Caenorhabditis elegans: one gene and its partners. The protein of the gene in region 3 purifies or fractionates together with the protein of the main gene of each other region. This does not show direct contact. Each region holds a gene or a part of one and is shown on either strand. Other genes may lie near its edges. The genes, in order: trx-4, F42A8.1, cbs-1 and Y49G5A.1.

Region 1 (3,565 bases), on a different chromosome or scaffold from region 3:
TAATTCTTTGAATGGCTACTGTAGATCTATTTACGGACTTGATTCTCGAAATGAATTAAAATTATTTATTTATCGAATTGACAAAAAAAACGAAAAATTGAATATCGCTGCCACAATTCAAAAATAAATTCATTTCCGTAAATCGACACAAGTGCTACAGTAGTCATTTAAAGAATTACTGTAGTTTTCGCTTCGAAATATTTTGCTCGTCAAAAGCATATGTTGAAAAGAAAGACGCATTCTCAGAGTTTTCCGTTTCCGTAATATGAAATAACCAACAAATACCTATTAAAAGAAAAAGAAAACTCGACAATTCCAAAAAATTAAAAAATACATTTCGCGCGGCGAGACCCAATATGTTTGCTGGATTTCTTTCATAACTTTACTTGCTTCTGTATGCGCCTTTGAGGTAACGGCAGTTCTCTTTTGAAAATTGGGATGAGCTTGGGCACAATTCAATATTTAACCGATTTTGTGAGAAAAAAAACAATTCTCGATATTTAAGAGATATATACGAAGAAAATTCCTTTTTGAAAAAAAAATGCGAAAAGCTCAAAGTCAGTCGACTGCAATGTCAACCGGATGTCGTGGGTCCGCCAGTCATACCTTTTCGGAGTTCAGGCCGAAAACATCAATGACGTAATAATACATGTTTTCAAAAAATAAATAATTCAAATAATACTGTTTATTCGTTCAGAACTCTTAATCTTCAGAGAAAATATAATGTAAGATGTTTAAAAGTGTGAAAATCATTGAAGAGCTGCCTTGACCATTTCCTCGAACTTTGTATTGTTCGCTCCACTGAACTGATCCTTCTTGATTCCGTCGACAATCAGAAGGAAGGTGGGCATCGAGTTGATCTCATATTCTTCACCGACACCGTCACACTCGTCCACATCAATTTTAAGGATCGATAGGCGATCCTTGTGCTCGGCGGCCAGCTCCTCCACACGTGGCTTGATCATTTGGCACGGACCGCACCTGGAATCGTGTATTTTGAGAATTTAATTTCATGAAAGTTTTAATTTGAAACTGTAAAAGGCATTTTTTAGAATTTACGTTTCTATCAAAAACTCAAGTTTCGAAATCCAAACTATCCTGATGAAAGGCTTCAAATAGTCGTGGCCTAGAAATTTCGATTAAGAAAATTCTCAGCCATGTGCATAAATCCAACCTACCATGAAGCCGTGAAAAATAGAATCACTGGCTGGGTTTTCTTCTCGGCAAAAATTGTCTTGAATTCGTCATCGTCCTTGATTGCGATAGACATTTCGGTTATCTGAAATAAAAAAAAAATAATTTGGAATTTTTTAATTTTAAATTCGTCTTTTGCTCAATACGCATTCGCAGAATTTTAGCGTTCGCGTAATAATTCCCGGAAACTCTATACTATTAGAGACTACAATTTAACAGTTAGTATTAAAAAATATTCGGTTTGGTTTCAGAATTTAGAAATATTTAAAATTCACCGCAAGAAAACATTAACGGTTAATGTAGAAGTTCAATTAATTGAAAAACATTGCAAAAATTTGAATAAAATTTACGTTAATCAACACATAATAATAAAAATAAAAATCACAATAACATTTATAGTATGTGTGTGTGTGGCCGAGAAGAAATGAAATAAAGAAACAATAAACCATTATAAAAAATTTTTAAAAACGGGTGACCAAGAGATACATCTTTAGGTCCTGCTGACTGGCCAAATGTGGGGGAGAGGAGTGGGGGAAGAGAAGAACGCCGTTTTGAGCAACAATGTGTGAAAAAAAAGAAAAAGCGAGAAAATGAAGCGGATGTGAAATACTTGGTCTCGACGCGACAAATTTTTTCAAGAGGATGTGCGCCTTTAAACATGATGCAGCGACTCGAAAAAAAGTGTAATTTTTGAAGAATTTATATTTACAATTTTTCTAGATTTTTTTCTCACAATCAATTTTACGACGCAATTTTCAATTACCAAATTATTTTTGAATTCCCCGAATTTTTTGATTTGAAACACAAAATTTCAGACCTTTTTTTCGGAAAAAATCGACTTTTAAGCCGAAAAAACGTCTGAAAATTCGAAAAATTGTGTTTCAAATCAAATATCCGAGAAAATATGAAGAAAACCCATTCAAATTTGTTTGCAAGGGGATTTAAAAATAATTCGAATTTTTGCCTTAAAATTGCAAAAATAAACATTAAAAATTTAGAAAAATTCTAAAAATTTTACAAGTGAATTTGATATTTTGGGGCTGTTTTCTAGCATTTCTGGCAAAATTTGAAACAAAAATTTGTCGCGTCGAGACTCCGTGGTACTGTAATTTTAGCACAAAAAATCGCAAAAATTGTATAATATTTGGAGCAATGATAAGTGAATCAATACAAACGAATCGGGGGTGTGGGTTGAATGAGAATTTCCAAAAAAAAAAACAAAGGATCACAGGACAATTTGATACTCTCTCTTTATATGCTTCGAGAATCTATATTGCACTGGGTGAATGGGGAAGAGAGAGAAGAGATGGGGGGCACAATTTACACGAATAATTGGATGAATGAGGAAAATGGCTAGAATCGAATCTTTTCAATGGCGAGAACTCGTGATTCCAGAGCACGGAATCTATCGAGAAGGGCATCGTATTCGGCACGGCTGACATAGTCTGATGGCGGAAGATTTGGCGATTTTTGACTATCTGGAGATGCCAATTTTCTGATTGCAGAGGTGGAGGAAGTGGAATCTGGAAGATGGACGATTTTTGTAATTTTTGGCAATTTGCCGGAATTGAAAATTTTCGGCAAATCGACTAATTCCCGGATTTGAGAATCTCCGGCATATAGATAAATTGCCGGAATTGAAAATTTCCGGCAATTTGCCAAAACAGAAAATTTTCGACTTCCGGCAAATCGGCAAAATTGCCGGAATTGACAACTTCCGGCAAATCGGCAAATTACCGGAGTTGAAAATTTCCGGCAACTCGACTAATTGCCGGAATTGTCAACTTCCGGTAAATCGGCAAATTGCCGGATTTGAGAATTTCCGGCAATTTGCCGAAACGGAAAATTTCCGGAAATTCGAAAAAATACTTGAAAAAAATTTTCATTTGGAATTAAAAAAAGATTTTTTACTGAATTATTTTCATTTTTATTGTATTTTTCTCATTTTTCGAGTTTTTTTTTGCATTGAATTTATGAATTATTTAGTTGTAAAATTAGATTTTAAGAAGTTTTAACTTTTTAAAAAATGTTAATATATTTTCTTTTTTTTTGCATTTTTTTTTTGGAGAAATATTTATTTTTTTTTAGGAATTTCTCTAGGAATTTTAAAAAGTACTTTTTAATATTTTTAAAAACAAAATTCCAAATTTTTTGCAATTTTTTTAATTATACCCTTTTTTAAATAATTTTCACAGGACTTAAAACATTTTTATTTTTTCATTTTTCCTAAAATTTTGAATTTTTTTGTTTCGGATTTTTTTGGAACTTTTAAAATTAATTTTTACTTTTTTCTAGAGTATTCAAAAAAAAAAAAAAAGTTTAAAAGAGATTTTCAGATTTATTCCTTTTTTTTAGAATTCTTTCCTCCCGA
Region 2 (7,895 bases), on a different chromosome or scaffold from region 3:
AATTTGGCACGTGGAATGGATATGACAGTGACTGAAGATTTGAATCAAATTATTCGAATGATTGAGACTGGGCCCAAGATTGTCTGCGAGTACATTCCTCGCCCATTGTTGTTCCCAAGGCCTGATAACGGGAATAAGGTGAAATTCGATCTTCGATACATCGTTTTCCTTAATGGAATTGCACCAGTTACTGCATACGTCTACAATAGATTCTGGATTCGATTCGCTATTAAGTTAGTTATCACCGTTAGAATTCAAAGTTAATGTTTACATTTTTCAGCGAATTCAGTTTATCTAACTTCGAGGATGTGGAGACTCATTTCACTGTATTCAATTATTTGGACAAAGAGAAAATTCTTCAAATGAAATGCGAAAACTTTATTGAAACTATTGAAAAAGCTTATCCGAGGATTCAATGGAGTGAAGTACAGAAAGATATCAATTTAACCATTCGCAAGGCAATCGAAGCAGCTGCAAAGTAAGTTTCGTTTTGTTTAGAAATATCTTAATGTTTGCATTTTCAGAGAAGAAGCTCCACGAGGAGTTGCTCCAAATGTCCAATCCCGTGCAATGTACGGTGTTGATATTATGCTTCAACACGGAGACAATGACGTCATCAAATCCACTCTCCTCGAGATTAATTTCATGCCGGACACCACTCGAGCATGCCAGTATTATCCAGATTTTGCTGACACTGTTTTTGAGACGCTTTTCCTGGATGAAATCGATCCAACCAAAGTCACACCAATCTAATTTCGTGTTCTTTTTTGTTTTTTCTTCCATATTACGATTGTTATATTATTTTTTGTTAACTTATTCTATTTTCGGCACTGAAACTTCACCGTGTTCACGTTTTCATCGGTGTTTTCTCGTATTCCAGTGGAAATTTTATGATCCTCTTTTCTTTATATAAAATTTGCATTCCTTTATGAATATAGTTATTCTTTATTTATTATCAAACTTCAGAAAAGAAATAGAAGAAGCACAATTATTAGGTTATTTCTCACGACATTTCAACAAAATTACACGTATTCTCGGGGGTACAATAACAAGAGAAAGCTCGCTGTGGTCACCTAGTCAAAACAACGTGATTATTTGCCACGTGGCAAATCGTACTTAAGTCCAGACGTATTCCTTTCCAACTGTGCCACATCGAAGATCACCAACTCGGCACCGTCAGCAGTCTTTCGGCAAGCAAGTCCAACTGATGAATCCTTTTGTTTTGGAAGATTCCAAATTGTGTACTTTCCTGGCTCAAGGAAAATTCGATCGAATCCCTTGTATTTATAGATGCATCCAACTGTGGTGACCTTTGTCTTGTTATCTCCGTCAGTTTCGCAGGTCTTCTCGATCTTCCAGTCTGGGTTCTGCTCATACCATCTACATCCGATCACCTTGTTAATGTCACGACCATTTTCAACAATCGAGCATCCGACGGCACGGTGGCTTCGTTTTCCTGGACGGATCTGGAAATTATAAGTTGAATATTTGGATGTACATATTATATTTAATTTCCAAGAGTCAGTAGGGATTTAGTTTAAATAAACTTATTATAGTTCAAAATGACAAAACATTTCAGATTTTTCAAAATTTTCAGTCACAGTTTTGGTAAATTACCAAATTTATCAAAAATTGTCAACTGACAATATGCAGATTAGTCCTTTTTCTACAGTTTTGATGTTATTTACTTTTTTGAAATATTTGAAATTAACCGAGATATGAGCTGCCAAAGTAGAGATTTTCCTAACGTCTGGATTCATTTCGGGACACCTAATTCTTAGTTCCTTAATGTATCATTTTCATATTTGAAAACTTCAATTTCAGAACTGTTCCATTGATCTCCCGTTCTATTTTTTCTCATTCTCATCACCTTCTTTTGCATGTTTCCCAATTACCTCGTTCTCCTCTTTCTCTTTTTCACATTGAACGTTCACTGTTGTATGTGTTTTGTACCCTAACAGTCTAAACCTATTGTCCAGAAAAAAAGCATCCAATAACTGATTCCTGTCCCCACTGGTACAGTCATTGACCGGAAACATACCTCGCACTGATAAGTGGTTCCATCTCTTTTGTACCGTTGTCCATCATACAAGTCTTGTCCACCAGCAACACATCCGATGCACTGCTTCGTACACTTTCCACCTTGCAACTTGCAATAGAAGAGGTAGTCTCCGTCCTGAAAACGAGAATATACAAGTTAATAAGAAGATGATGTTATCTATTTCATCAATCTGTTTTTTTTCTGTTTTTTTTCAAAACTTATTTTTAAGGTATGTACTTCCTATTAGGATTTGTTGTTATCATTTTCATCTTCAGAACTTTTTTTTCGTGAAAAGTTTGATGTTCAAAAATCGCAGGATTTTGCAGGGGCACGCCCTTGGACAAGTTGATTTAATGTTGATTTGAACATGTTTAGAAGGTTCAAATTGGGTTTGGAAGACTTCCGGGAGAAATGATTGATAATGGATGAAATGAAATTCAAAAAAAAGAGAAAAGTTCTAGAAGTTTCGGCGCCTTCGTTTTTTTTCGTTTCAAATTACTAGGAAATAATTATTTTGACAGATGCATTGGGCTTGGTAGATCCCGATCCCAGTAGGCACAAAAATATCTACCTACATTTCAGAAGACCTACGCCGGCCTATGAAAAAATATAAATAGGTGGTAGGCGAGTCATGAAGGCTTGTCCACCCAAACTCATTGGTAAAACTCACTCTGTATTGTTGTCCAACAGTGTATCGAGTTCCCTCATGAATACATCCAACACTGCACATTTGAACGACTCCAGTAGTTTTTTGTTGGCATTTATAACTGAAAATATTTTTTCCATACTCTTCAGAATTCAAAGTCTCAACTTAAAAAAAAAAGTTGCTACCGCAAAAGTTCAAGTATCTCGTAGACACCAACCGATAAGATATAAAAGAGTGCATTTTCGTAGTGACCCGTTTTTTTTGTCACTTTATCACATAATCTCGCCATATCCGTCGCCCTTATCAATGAAAAAAAAAACTAAAAAAGTTGTTAAAATACAACTTGGGAGAAAATAGGATTACGGTGGATTTGAAGGTTGCAGGATATCAATTAATTTCCAAGTGCTATGAAAACATTGAAAGGACATAAAAACAGGATTTGAATTATCATTTTTGATCTTTCATCACCGAAAATGTACCCGAGAGTACTGTAATTTAGATTATGATACGTTCGATAGCACTAGTCCACATGTCTTATTTCAGAAAAACCTACGCCTACCTCGTACCTACTGCGAAACCGCCAATCTCTTGCATTCAAAGATTAGATTTCAAGCTTCAGTGTTTTAAATAGTGTGAAACCGTCAATTCCTTAACTTTACGCTCAAATAGGAAATAAGCATTCGTCAGAAACGAAGGCAGGCACGTGTAACTCTTGCCTACCTGCCAGATTCACCTAGTGTTGGAAATTCTTGAATTGACAATGCTGTCACATCAGTTTTAATGTCCCCTAGTTTTCCTATTAGTTTAAATTCAATTAGGTAATCTGGGTTTCAGTTCAATTTTGATCCTTAGATCCAATCTATCACTTTCAATCTTTCAAAACCCTATCAGTCAATCTCTATCACTATCTATTTAAACTCATTCTTTAGTCTTTCACCACTCTTTGCCTTTTCGTTTTTCTGCTAAACCGTCTGACCGGTGTCACTTCATATTGTCTCCCGTGTGTTCAAATTTCGGGTGGCCTTCAAATCATATGTCACCCTATCATTTACACTTTTCTTGGCGGCGCCATGTCGGTAAAAACAACGGATAAGCGGAGATAAGCCATTGAGCGAAATTTAGGGGCAGCGAACTCACGTGTATCCGTTGAAATCGTCTGTCTGACCAAGTGGGACACGTCGTTGCTTATCATGGGCAATGCATCCTTCAATTGTCGTTTTGACAACACGACCATCGTCACGGCAACGGTAGTAGTAAGTGTTCTGGAAGAGGTATTTTTGTGGTTGAATGGGGTAGAGGGGGTTGTGGTCAAAGTTGAACTTGGAATACTACTATGATTGAAGACAAATGGGTCTGTTCTATTTTATTAAATATCAATTTACTAGATCTTGCTCAAACTGTTTAAAATTAAATTGAAAATTAGCTACCAAAATTTCAAAATTTCTCTACACAATTTTCGGTTTCTAAACCAATTCGATTATGTCTTCTTTTCATTTAATGATCAAAGGATCAGAAACATTATCAGGCCGGTTATCTGTCCTATGCCTATAGCACCTATGGGATGTGGGATCTCTAGAAAACAAGCTTATACTTACTTTAGGTATCACTGTGGGCAAGCACATCGGCGATCAGAGTACCTGTTTGTGTGCCTACCTTAAGCCTACTTGTTTTTATTGGAAACTATTGGTTTGTGCTTCCTAAGTAGATTAACAATATTTTAATTTTGTGAGCACGAAAGCATGAGTCTTGCATCGAACACGCTCTCAATTTAAATTTAATAAATCACACTTTCAAAGTTCATCTCTAATTATTGTGCCACATTTTCAGCGATTTTTCTCGGCATTGTCAAACTATGCCTTCCACTTTTTGAATTTGTAGGTCAAAAAGTTTTCGTTTGGAATCAAATTAGTGAAGTTTCGAAAGTAAAATTGGGTCAGTTCAAAAACTATGTTATAGCTTTCGTTGAAACTTTGATCAACGTTTTTTTTTAGTGGCAACTAAAAAGTTAATAGAAAAATTGCAGAACCCCCTACTGTGTGTGTCCGCCCACCGGATGTGATACATGTTGCAACTTTCTTCACATGTTTTAATATCTTTCACTTTCCTCTCATTCTTACCTTGGCATCGGTCCAAGTCTCTCCTTTTTGATAGGTACGTCCATCTGTGCCGACACATGCGCTGTAGCCGAATTCGATATAACCGTCGCTTCCTGATAAAGAGTAATCGTAAAAAAGGAGATTTGATACGTTTTCTACAAAATCAGATGTGGGTACTCAATGATATGGGGAAAAAGAAGATCAAATCGACAAAAGATGTTGAATGAGAGACATTAGAAATGGTTTTTTTTTTGAATGGACACGATTTTGAGAATACCTACTTTTAAAATATTTTAACAATTTGAAAGTTAGTTATTCTTAACACTGTCGTGAACTCGAAGACTCCAAAAGTTACGGAAACAGTACTAGGTATTCTGAGTAGTAGGTATTAAGAATTTGAACTAGCTAATAAAAAGTTGAATTTAATTCCAACTGAAAATTTATAGTATTCTCAGAAGCCTAGTTGCCCAGATCAGTATAATTTCCATGCTCGAAACTAACCAAGTTGGCAAATGAACTCATATCTATCTTGTTGGAAAGTATGTCCAAGTGGAATCTTTTCCTCTGTGCTTGACAGACATCCAAGTGGCTCCAACTGTCCACGTCTACACTCATAAAAGTATTTTCCACGTGTCACTTGGTCTCCTTCCTGCCACCATTGAGCTGGCCGTCCGTTCCCGCTTGTCCAACATCTGCAAAAGGAGTTTTTTTTTTGAAAACCGGTTCTTATCAATTGGTTTCAGTTTCGTTGAGAACCATAGATACTAGTAGCTAGTTGTCTTGTTCAATGAGATGAACTTGACAAGATGATAAGGAATACAAGGGGAACGGTGAGACATTTAGGTTGTGGATTTTGAAATTTTTGATTTTTTGTTGTTATGTATAGTATGTATACAATGTATACGTTAGAAAAAATGATTCCTCATATCTAATCTCAGAAGTTTGGCTCTGAAATTGAACCACCATGATACTAGAGGTTTAATGTTTTATACGTGCCTCCAGAAAAATTTTTATAATTAATGCCAAATAAAAAATAGGCATAGGCAGGCACGTAGGCAAAAAAAGGCATATTTAGAAGCCATGGAAGCCATATGACTTTCAAAAACAAATTTTTTGAGAATAAAAAAATTTGCTACGAAAATCGTAAGGTTTGAGACTAATAAGGATTAATTTTTCGAAAATTTTGGATACACTGAACCTTTAAAAAATAAAACAAACCTAGCTCTAGCTGCAGCTCCTTTTTCGACATTTGAATAGGCCGAAACCTCGAAAATTGAAAGAATCGAGAGGATAAGTAGAACCAAGTTGTTCTGCATTTTCATCAAAATTTCTTTTGTCTCTAATTCCCCCGCTTTCGGTGATTTTTATAGTAGCTCCTAGGCTCCTCCCACTTCCTCCCCCACATCTTCTTTCTCTTTTTCACTTTTTTCATCTTTTCTCTCCCCTTTTCCGTCCGAAAATGGACAATTGTTCTTCAAGTGGGCGGAGCTCTAGGAACACCTTTTCGCTCTTGAATGTTTGTTTTAAGATGAAGAAAAAGCGGAAAAGAATTGGGATATACATCATAGTTACGCCGGTTTTGTTATTCAAATATCTCATAAATTACAAGTTTTCTGGAGGAAAGAACACCATAAATGACCATTTCAGTGAAAGTGCGTGTAGGAGGGGAAACTACCGGAAATTGAGCTAAAAATATACAGTGTATTGGTCTATGAGTTTTCAAGCTGTCAGATGGTGCAAAATAGATTTATAGATTTTCCAAATAGTTCAAAACAATTCGGTAAACATTCTAAGCTGAGGGAGCCCAAAAATTATGGATGATGCCTTTCAAAGTTATCAATTCGTACTAGAGCTACTCACTTATTCAAAACATCACTCTATAAAACTGGATGGGCAAATGAAAACTTATAGTTAGGACCTGCCTGCCACCTCTGAATTACGGTATGATACAGCTTTTCTACTGTGAAGAATTAAATTTAAGCGCACTTCAAATTGAACGTACTTTTGAGAAAACGGAAATTTCCGAGATTCCATCTATTCCAAAAAGAAATTAGTTGCCAAAATTGAGCAACTGGGAGTAACGGCATATCATTTTCTATCACAATATCACATTCGACTCGTTTGAGCTCTGGAAAATATGATAATCTAACTTTTTGGATATGACGTCACAATCAGTCCTGTAAGAAATTTCACGTTTTCCAGTGGAAGGATCACTCCGAACACGCGCCTCGTATCTCAATCTGAATGTGGCTTACTGCTGTAGTATGGGATTTCCAAAATAATCCATCTTTGAAAATGTGTGTGTTTTTTTAATTTGTATATATTCTCTGCCTTCTTCATCAAAAACTCACCTCGATTTTCACATATGAGTTCTCAATTATTCATCCAAAAATTCCTAGACACTTATTTCATCCAAACGCATATTTGAAACCGTTTCTCCTCCGGTCGAAATGCTAATTGCCGCCCACCTACATATACCGTGACAACATTTTGTTGTGTAGGTGTCAGTAGTTCACTGACGAGATGAAATTCAATTCAGAAAAAAACGTTCTCTGAGACACACTGACGTCTTCTTATTTGCAGGAAATGATTGCTGACACTTTAAAAAATAAATAGGACAACATTAGAAAATAAACAATCAGGTTGATTTATTTACAATAAATAAAACAGTGTAATCAACTTGTCATTTATCAATGGACAGGAGAGTCTGATGAAAAGGTTTCCGGAGAGATCGGAAGTGAGATGGGGAAATTGGAAAAAGGAAAGAGTTGAAATCTCATTGACTACTCGACTTCATTTTTGTTCATGAGAAATCCGTTAAAATTATAGAGAAAGAAGTGAGACAATATGTTGACGTACAAAAATGGTTATATTCATTTGCAATATCTTCTAAAACTCGCAAAATTGCGTATCTTCAAACTGACGTATCTCGAAAACTATAGTTCTAGAAAACAAATGTTCAACAAACAAAACTATTAGAAATATTTTTTCTTCCCTTTGCATCAATTTTCATTACAAAGTAGCAAGGATTTATTGAGTTACACTGATTCAAAGATAGTTTCCTAAAATCTACCAAAATTTTTGAGAACTGTTCTGTTGTACCAGTCTTAAC
Region 3 (6,074 bases):
CATCGTCCTTTTCGCTATCTGCGCCATCGCCTATTCCCAGAGACTTGCATGTGGATTCTGTAAGTGCTCGGTTCGATATGTCATATTCATTCATGACATTCGCTATTTCAGCCTGCTCCCGTCGTACCGTCGTATCTGCTCCAATTGACGGAGCCCCAGGAACCGCAACATGTTCCGACACAACCACGCCAGAAAGATGTTCCGGATGTTGCCAGGCTAGAGCTCTTCAAGACGGCCTCACCACGGTGAGGAAAAATATGAAATTTCTTAAAATAATTTTGTAGACTTCATTACGGATGATGCAAATATTATTCATTTTGTATTTTAAAGGACTTCGCATCTGGATTCATCTCAAATGACCGTAGAACCTGTGTCTGCTGCTTCAACAACACCAACAGAAACTGTGGAGGCGGAAACACGTTCTTCGATGGAAAGAAGTAAATTAAAGTTTCATTATGCAATAAATATTTAATCCTTGAAAAATTGTTAACTGTTAAAATTTCATTGATATTATTCAATTGTTTTTTTTTGTTTTCTAGAGGAATATCTGGCATATCTTTAAGACAAGACAAGAAGCTTATTACATTACTAAAATAATGGAACAACTTTAAGGTTTGTGTACATTGAATGATTTTCTTCTCGTGCTCTTGGCAAATATCACAAGCACATCGATACCCAGCAGTATCATTTTAGTATCAATCATAATTTTTAATGAAACTAAATAGAGTTGAATAAAATTATTTTCAGAATATAAAAGCTGCAAAAATCCGCTTATGATATCTTATTTAACTTTCGTGACAAAAACATTCATTATGACAACCGCCCATTTGGTCTTCGATTATTATGAATGTAATCGTGAATTTTTTCAATCATAACAATTTGTCACAAAACCATTTTTATTTAAAACAGAGTAAAATCGCGAATTGAAAAAAAAAGTAAAGAAGCCAAATAATACGGACCAAGTAATACGTGTAGATTGTCAAGATGAAAATACGGAATGGTGGAGACAAATTCAAAGTTCTTCATAGCTTAGGCGTCTAGGAAATGACGCTCATTCATCCAATCATCGTCGAGGAATTTAGTGCTGAAATGTATATTTTATTTTGAAATAAAAAAATAATGAAACTAACATGTAATTTCTAATTCCATCGGGAAGAAGAACAACGACATTAGCCTCGGCTGGAAGATTCAACGATTTGCATTCTTCAAGTGCGTAGTGAACCGCGCAACCGGAAGATCCTCCGCACAAAATACCCTCAGATCTGATGAGCTCGCGAGCCATCAAGAACGACTCCTTGTCATGAGACTTTGCCCAATAGTCAATGGCACTAGTGTCCAAAGTTCCTGGCAAAAAATCGTATCCAATTCCTTCAACCTCATAGAAGTCGATGTCAGTCTCGGCAGGTCCAGCGAGAATAGATCCATGAGGGTCGACTCCGACCACCTTGGCTGTTGGAATACGCTCGTGGATTTTGCGAGAAATTCCAGTAACAGTTCCTCCTGTACCAGCAGTGAGAACCTGTAAAACAGTCATGAAAAAACGAACATGAAATGTGTACAATTTCATCTTTCATCATTTTTCAAATAGTTAGATAAATTAAAAGCTCTTACCACGAGATCAATATGCTTATCCCCCATATCGTAAATGATTTCCTCAGCGGTTTCTTCATAATGAGCTAACGGATTTCCTGGATTGCAGTATTGATCAAGAACTACCGCATCTTGAATTTCACTTTTAAGACGGAGAGCAACACCAATGTGTGAATGTGGGCTGTCAAATCCTGCCTCATTCGGAGTACGGATGATGGTTGATCCAAGAGAAGCCATTGCAATTGACTTTTCCTTTGACATTTTCTTTGGCATGGTGATAATGCATTTGTACCCACGGACAGCAGATGCAAGCGAAAGTCCGATTCCGGTGTTTCCGGAGGTTGGCTCGATGAGGGTTACTCCTGGAACCAACTTTCCAGGTTTTCCAGTCTTCTCAGCAATTTCAACCATTCTTTTGGCAATACGATCCTTTGTTGATCCCCCAGCGTTCATGTACTCACACTTGACGTCTGTAAAATGCCATTGCATAGATTTAGGAAAATATATGTTAAAGTTACTTACAAACGTTGCATTTTACTCCATGTGCCTTTGGAATGTGTTGAAGCTTGACGAGTGGAGTCTTGCCGATGGCATCGAGAACTGTATCAAGAACCAGTGGCCTTTCTGGGCTGACAAAGTTGTGGGTTAATTAACTATGTTGTTGTATAGGAGGTCATAATAAGTTTCACTTCTATGAACTCCACTCATTTTTTAAATGTGTTTTTTGGTAAACTTACTTGAACTTGTTGAATTCAACTTCGGAATGGCTCCATGATTTGGTTTCAGGATCTTGAGTCCACTCTCCAGCAAGTTTAGTTGGATCATACACAAGCACTTTTGGATCGTAAATGCTGTTTGGTTGTGGTCCATCTTTTCTGGTCACCACGTCTTTCTTGTTAGCGGTGATCCAATCATCATCGAGGAAATGACGGAGATAATTTCTAATTCCATCCATAAGAACAACGACAATTGTTGATCCAGCTGGTAGTTCCTTAGCGAGTTTGATTGCTTCAAGAACAGCGGCTCCAGATGATGGTCCAGCCATGATTCCTTCAGTTCCAATGAGATGTCGAGTGAAAGAATAAGCTTCATCTTCTTCGACCTCTCGTTTTTCAACATTGTACTCCTCAAAATTGGCTAGTTGAAATTGTACTTACACGTATGCATATTATGATTACTTGTCATCGTCTTCTATTACACTCACCTGGAGAAGATCATTTTTCAAGTCCAATCCCATTTCTGGAATAGTATCCTTTTTGCATGTGACTCCAACAACGCGAACACCATGTTCACCGATTCCCTTGTAATATGCTGCAATTCCAGCAGCGGCAGCTCCGGTATTCAATGGAATAACAACTGCTCCAACTTTGCCAATCGACTTGTTATTAACAGCTTTCTCAATTTCGAGGGCGGTTTTTTGAAGATTTGCAACAAATGCGGCATTGGTAGTGAACTTATTCAAGCTGAAGACACCTTTTTGTTGAGCAGCCTCATCAGTTTGAACACGAGCCTCTGCAAATGTTCCAAATGGAAGTTCAACAGTTTTGACTCCCAGGGTATGCAAGACAGTATCCACAAGATCGAATTCTCCCTTTGGTGCGTAGATGGTCAATCTGAAAATAAACATGATGCATGACGTGTTGCTTTTTGATCTCGCCCATCTTTCACTTACTTGATGCCCTTCACAGCAGCAACTGTTGCGTATGAGATGGCTGCAGACCCACCGGCGGTCACAAAAACTTCATCTCCTCTCACAACTCCAATCTCTTCAGCAAACTGGAAAAGTACAAATTAGGTTTATCTGCTTCCCATTTCCTACCTGGAAAGCTTTGTCAGCGGTACGGTCTTCCAAAGATCCCGCAATATTGAGATACTCTAGCTTCACATCTGAAATGAAAAAAGTTTCCCTTGACCACAATCTCATTAACAAACAGACTCAAGAGGTTGAATAAATAAAAAACCTATCGGAAAGGCTCAGAAAACTTTAGAGTTTAGTGTGCCGTTAATGAGCTTTTTGTCACCAAAACTCACAAATATCACTCTGAAGTTGATGTTCAACCTTCAGTTTTTTGAGTGGGACAAGTGGAGTTGGACGTTGAGCGGCTTCTAAGATTGTGTTATAGGTGATTCCTTTCCTGCAAAAGTGAATTTGCTAGACTGTTGAAATGTCTTATCTTATCTTATCTATAGAAAATTTTGATTTCAAGCAGATTAGACGAATTTTTTATCTACACGTGCTTCTTTTTTTCTTACAATTTTCTTTTCGAGAGAAGAAAAAATACCTTAAATTTCAAACTTTATGGTATTGAATTCATTCTGCCTCATTTATTTACAGTTTTCAAATAAGATTGCATCAGCACTATTCGTTTTGAAGCCAGAAAAACTGTGTTTTAACTATGTGTTATTTTTGTTTTATAACCTGATTCAAAAAATTTTTTTTAGTAGAGTGCGTGTTTTTTGAAAAAAAACTTACTTAGTTGATCCATGTGTAGCGGAAACTTCGTTTTGGATCATTTTCACACCTGATTAATAGCTACCTGAAATCAATATTAAGTTGAAAACGACATTTATCGATTGAAAAAAAATTGAAACAAAATGTTACAAAGGGTATGAAGTTGACTTTTAACTATTCTTATTGCCACACAATGCCGTGGATAATGAAAACTATAGACTGATAGGCATCTAGATGAGGGTCAGAGACACGAGAAAAAAGATGGGAGGAGTCGGGTCTAAATTGATTCTTCTAGCAAATACTGGGCACTTTGTCGTGGTTTATCTTTTTGGGAGATGATCGATTGTGAAGGTCAAAGAATCAAAAACCTCTTTTATACGATGCTTTATTTTTTCAAAATAGATTTCGTTGAAATGGAATTTTGAAGACAAGTGGGAGAGTGACAAAATGAAATATCAATATCACAAAAATTGATAAAAAATTTTACGACAATATTATCTATATTATCTTGCCAGAACTAACTGCGAGGGACGAGGTGAATAATAAAGTGTACTTAGTATCTTTTATTATTGGTATCATTAAATACATTTCGCTTCGGGCAAAGTATATTAGATCTCTGGTGTAGGCAACAGATGAGGTGACCTAAACATAGGTTAGGAAAAATAACATGACATTTCAGAAAAATAACAGCAAAGAATTTGACACTTTCTGTGTGTTTTTTCTGTGCGTGTCTTTGAAAATACAACTAAAAACTAATTGGGTTTTTTCTCATATTGTTTCATTGATGTAGAAGAATATTCCAATGGATGGAAGAATATTGGAAAAAATGAAGGTGATCAAAATCTATAAATCATAATGATTTTTAAAGCACATGTTCTATACGTTTTTTGTCACTTGTGTGGGTTTGTGAGAATAATTAATAGAAAACACTTTTCGACTATTTTCTGTCACACAATTTTAGAAACAATCACTGCTATGAATGTTGATAGTTTTATTGAAACTATAATTGTAGATACAATAATTGTTGGCATAAGGTGATAGAAACAACACGATTCATGAAGAAAAAAAATGAAGAGATCACGATGATTCAAGATCTGACAAGGGTTATGCGTGTATCATTTCCTAAACAACCCAGACAAAAATGAAATGATGAGAAAAAAAAAGAGCCAGGGAGAGATGAACGAAAAAGAATGGGAGTGCAGACAGAGAGCAGAGTGTACAATAAAAAGGCAAGGACAGGTGTTGGAAAGAAGAGTAACCTCTAGACAGGTATATTACTACTGCAACAACGAGCAATTAGATTATAGTGCTGTGGCAAGATTTATTGCAGTTATTTGTATGTAGTGTGGTGTCTGGATGGGAATTTGGGAAAACACAGGTCAAACAACAAAAGAAGGGGATTGCAAAAAAGAAACAAACCGGAACAGAAAATGATCAAAAAATTTCATTTGATCTGTAAGATTTTATAGTTTTCTCGGGAACAAATAAAATATTTATTTCCTTGAGATTCACCGTTTTTCCGAAAGTTTTTAGTTTGAAAGATGAATTTTATATGGCTTCAATATGCAAAGTGTACTACCATGCATTTGGGCCAGATTCCAAAAATTTTCACGAGAAGATATTTTACGAATAGGAATTGTTTTTTTTTTAACATCCATAACTTTCTCCCAAAAAATGCAACAACACTTTCAAAAGAGCACACTCAGTTTTATTACCATAAATTAATTTTTCTCAGAAGGGATTATTCTTGAAAACAGAGGAATGTGCTACATCACATAATGTACATCTTCGCATTGTTGGTTCGACAAAAGTTTTTCAACGATCAGAAGTTCCAGTTTGTTACATAAAAATATACACGAAATATTTCAAATTGATGGTCATTCCTCAGCATCTGCCAGCTTTTCCGTCAAGTGATCCGGTGCATCTAAACCTCATTACTTTTGGTGTTTTTGAGTCGATTTGCGACGCGCGTCTGTTCTCGAACCGTGGCGCGTGTACCTCGAGGCGACACTTGGGAGGAGTTTTGTTCTCG
Region 4 (3,739 bases), on a different chromosome or scaffold from region 3:
GCCAGAGTAACTATATTTAGTGAACGGCCAGAGTCACTAATTTTGGTGAACGGCCAGAGTCACTAATTTTGGTGAACGGCCAGAGTCTTAATTTTTAAAGTAATGCAAACGTAGTAAATCTCCCAATAAAAAAATGCGGTCATATTGCATGAAATTTAGTTTTTTTGATCAAACTGAAAGCTTCTGGCACCTGGAAATTTTTGTAATTAAATTCTGAAAGCGCTTAAAATTTGTCCCTTCTAGGACTTTTTACATAAAAAGCAGGATGGTTCTAGAATTTTCTAGAAACTCTGGAAAAGTTTTAGAATTTTCTTGAAATTCCGCAAAACTCCAGGAAAAGTGTTGACTGTACAAAAATCTTACATTAGCAGTTTAAAATTTATTAAAACAATTTACCGTACGCCAGTCGGAGCACGTGCAAACGGCTGGTTTTTTATAATATGCTTCTACATTAAATTTTTCATTTAAAACAGTGGGATATCATATACAAATCGATAGCTTTGTATATTTGCTGGAGTCCGAAAATCTAAAGATTTCAGACGAATTGTTTGGAAAAGGTTATATTAGTTATATTAATTCATTAATAAAAAAGTTTATATAGATAAACATGCACGGCCGAAAATAATTAATTGCAGCAAGTGGCAAAATATGTTCCCTCCACACAGGTTGCTCCAGCTGGACAGAACTTTGATTTGCAACTCTTCCCAACAATCGTTGTAGGGATTCCACCCTCGACAATTTTTGCAACTTTCTTTCCTTTTGGACATTTTGGCTCATAATCAGCTTCAATCAACTTTTCAATCTTCTTGTCACAGCAAATATTAATATGATTAGAGTACCTACAGATACCTTTTGGCCCACATTCTTCCTGGAATTTTTACAGATTTTTTCAAAAACATGGAGCAACTTACATCGGTTTGGCAGTTTTTATCGTTTATTGGCTTACTTCCAGCGGCACATCCCGATTGATCATCTAAATACTTTGGTTTAAAGTAAAAAATTCAAATGAAAAAACATACATCCAGTACATGTAAATCGACATTCACTCTCAGTTTTGAAATTATTCTTGTTTCCTCCACATCCACTGTACTCAAAAGCCAATGGGATATTGGATTTTTGGTCAAAGTGGTACTGTAAATTATTAAGACTTTATACTTTATGAATTTTATGAAATAAAAATATTGAGAAATATGTTTAGTTTCTGAAAATAATTTTGCTTTTGTTGAAAGTTTTGAAAAGTTGAAATTTTGAAAAGACTTACAGTCTCAGTGTTATTTCGGCACGTTGACTTTTGAGTCAGTTTTTGAGCAAATTCTCGGAATTTTCAATTAAACGTATAGCTATTTTCAGAAAGTACCAATGTTTTTCTATATTTTTTTCCAATTTCCAAAAATTCCAAAGTTTCCAAAAAAAAGCGACATGAAAGCTTTGAAAAATCAAAACTCACTCTTATCTCCTTCTTTCCATTTTTACATGGTGTTTTTCCCATGTCCAATGGAAGTTTGCACTCCGGTTGAAGTGTCGAGACTAACTCACTGACACACAGAATAGTAGCCAAAAAGGTAAGAAGAAGATTCATTTTGCAAAATTGACAGAATAATTGAAATGATCACCGTTTTATACTACTGGAGAAATGGATAAACACGTTGAGAGATAAAGAAATCGAATGACTATACTCAACACTTCCTGGTTTAGATAAGAAGAAGGTCAAACTGGATAATGTTTGGTTGAAGTTCTAGTATAGATTCGTTTAGAAAAATCCGTAAATCTCTTTCAATTGTCGAATGCTAGCTGACAAAACACCCAGAAATCTTCCAATCTGAAATTCTACCTAAAAGTCCAATAAAACAATTATTAATATGGTTGTGTGGCCAAACCATCTAAAAAACTGTTCAGCAAATTTTATAAACGCTCTTGGTATCACCGTGAATGATTCTTTGAATCACTTCCTGGTCACAGAGATTACCAATACGGAGATCATAAATGCCATTTGAAAAAAAGAAATTTTAAAATAGGCTACTACAAAAAATTGACAAGTATTGTGATCAGGATAAAATTCTATCTGATTATTTTTCCAGTGCAAATTGCTTCAAATCAACGATGCTCGAGCTCGACAAATTTCGAAATTTGCAGCACACCAAAAATTTGACAAAACAATTTTGCCCAAAACTATTGAATTTGTCCCCTAAAATTTAGTAAAATTCCACAAAATGGAGTTAATTTGATGTTTAAGCTGACACAGCTCACGAAACTTATTCAGAAATCAGATGTGTGATATCTTTGGTGCTCCAAAATACATCTAAAATATAACATTTTTCCGGAGTCTGTTGAAAACGGCAAATTTGCCGAGTTTGCCGAGCGCGGCAAATTTTGAGATTTGCCGCACATCCCTGCTCCAAATGTGGAAGCCTTTAAAAGTGATCATATTTTTTTCAGAAAGAAAAGTTTCTTGAAAACTCCTATAGTTGTTCACATGTTTTACAAAACATCTGAAAGTCAAGATTATATATGAAAAACTACTCTAACGCAATTTTTCTTTCTGCCACCTATTCACTTTTTCCAAAAAGTTGGGAAATCTCTTGGACATAATTTTCTAATTTCTTAACCCAACTCAAAAGCCTTATTTGAGAATAGACCTCGAGTAACCTAAATTCTCCGGTCCACGTGCTTGTTTATTCCGTTCATGCGAAGTTTGTTCCTAAAATTTTTTTAATATATCCTCTGTAATCCCCCAGCTAAACTCACAAATTTCCGATTCCTTATTTGCTTTTCATGTCACTTCGACGTCTACTTTTTTCGTTGCAGTTGCTTTTCTCTGAAATTCTCCGCAAAAAATAACAAAATTTTGTTACTTGTTACTTTGTTCGCCGTTGATTGAATATGTGCTATGGCAACTCTTTCTGAGTTGTTGGGTTCAAGTTTTGGTAATTGTATGTTTTCAAAAAAAAACTGAAAAGTAAGGTTTTGATTTAGAACGTCAGAATAGAAAACCAAAACCCAAAAAATAAAATAGAAAACAAAAAAAAACGAATCATTATAGTCAAGTCTCTATTGCGAAAAGCAGCTACTATTAGCCTATGGGGTCAATTTGATTATCTGCCTTTGCCTAGTCGGTGTTTTCCCAGCGCAGAATCCACTTTGCTCTGCCTGTGCTCCAAAAGAGTGCTCATTTTCAAAAGACACACATACACTCTTCTCATTTTCTCGTTTTTTTGCTTCTTGTTTCTCATCGTCCGGTTCTTTTTTTTTCCACTTATCATCTACACTTCCTTGATACCATGGCTTATTTAGTGAAGATGGCTTATTTAGTGAAGAATTCATGACATACTGAACGAAAATGTTGCAATGTTCCTCTCTGGGAATAATATTAAATTTAAAGGTGTTGATTTGTGAATTTTTTCGGAAACACTCTTTTTTGAAATAATAAATATTTTAATCAAGGGTGTCTGTTTTTCGATTTTTCACAAAATCCGATATTTCGAAAATAAATTATATTTTTTGCTTACAATGCTGGATTTTTCTTTTCAGAAGAAAATTTTATTTTTTGCCATCAACAAAATTCGATAAAAATATAGATTAAAAAAAAAATATATATAAAAAGTATTCGCCAATTCCTGCTCACACTAATTTCCATGTTTGAATTACCTCCAAAATAGAGAGAAACCATTTCCGTACCAATCAGATTGAACTAAACACACTCCGTCTGATTGGTTCACACATGGGCGGAGCAAATCGCTGA

What was found.
Region 1: the proteins of cbs-1 (region 3) and trx-4 fractionate together in Caenorhabditis elegans (co-fractionation; one large-scale study listed by BioGRID). This does not show direct contact.
Region 2: the proteins of cbs-1 (region 3) and F42A8.1 fractionate together in Caenorhabditis elegans (co-fractionation; one large-scale study listed by BioGRID). This does not show direct contact.
Region 4: the proteins of cbs-1 (region 3) and Y49G5A.1 fractionate together in Caenorhabditis elegans (co-fractionation; one large-scale study listed by BioGRID). This does not show direct contact.

The regions. Positions count from the first base shown.
Region 1 is NC_003279.8:3,317,306-3,320,870, forward strand, and holds trx-4 (Thioredoxin), read right to left. Parts: upstream 1,280-3,565; 5' UTR 1,271-1,279; coding exon 1,179-1,270; intron 982-1,178; coding exon 750-981; 3' UTR 673-749; downstream 1-672. Other genes in the region: cdap-2 (SH3 domain-containing protein), read right to left, coding at 2,548-2,717.
Region 2 is NC_003280.10:9,340,467-9,348,361, forward strand, and holds F42A8.1 (uncharacterized protein), read right to left. Parts: upstream 6,125-7,895; 5' UTR 6,100-6,124; coding exon 6,002-6,099; intron 5,476-6,001; coding exon 5,285-5,475; intron 4,897-5,284; coding exon 4,805-4,896; intron 3,950-4,804; coding exon 3,825-3,949; intron 2,809-3,824; coding exon 2,712-2,808; intron 2,177-2,711; coding exon 2,042-2,176; intron 1,467-2,041; coding exon 1,092-1,466; 3' UTR 931-1,091; downstream 1-930. Other genes in the region: ttll-12 (Tubulin--tyrosine ligase-like protein 12), read left to right, coding at 1-233, 281-478, 525-753.
Region 3 is NC_003284.9:10,052,334-10,058,407, reverse strand, and holds cbs-1 (Cystathionine beta-synthase cbs-1), read right to left. Parts: upstream 4,128-6,074; 5' UTR 4,105-4,127; coding exon 4,064-4,104; intron 3,726-4,063; coding exon 3,622-3,725; intron 3,478-3,621; coding exon 3,410-3,477; intron 3,367-3,409; coding exon 3,263-3,366; intron 3,204-3,262; coding exon 2,795-3,203; intron 2,717-2,794; coding exon 2,328-2,716; intron 2,220-2,327; coding exon 2,113-2,219; intron 2,061-2,112; coding exon 1,612-2,060; intron 1,520-1,611; coding exon 1,131-1,519; intron 1,085-1,130; coding exon 1,030-1,084; 3' UTR 884-1,029; downstream 1-883. Other genes in the region: ZC373.2 (uncharacterized protein), read left to right, coding at 1-59, 112-245, 331-441; gnrr-3 (G-protein coupled receptors family 1 profile domain-containing protein), read right to left, coding at 5,927-6,074. UniProt on the Caenorhabditis elegans protein: Hydro-lyase catalyzing the first step of the transsulfuration pathway, where the hydroxyl group of L-serine is displaced by L-homocysteine in a beta-replacement reaction to form L-cystathionine, the precursor of L-cysteine.
Region 4 is NC_003283.11:5,285,782-5,289,520, forward strand, and holds Y49G5A.1 (BPTI/Kunitz inhibitor domain-containing protein), read right to left. Parts: upstream 1,593-3,739; 5' UTR 1,580-1,592; coding exon 1,448-1,579; intron 1,132-1,447; coding exon 1,020-1,131; intron 974-1,019; coding exon 912-973; intron 869-911; coding exon 626-868; 3' UTR 562-625; downstream 1-561.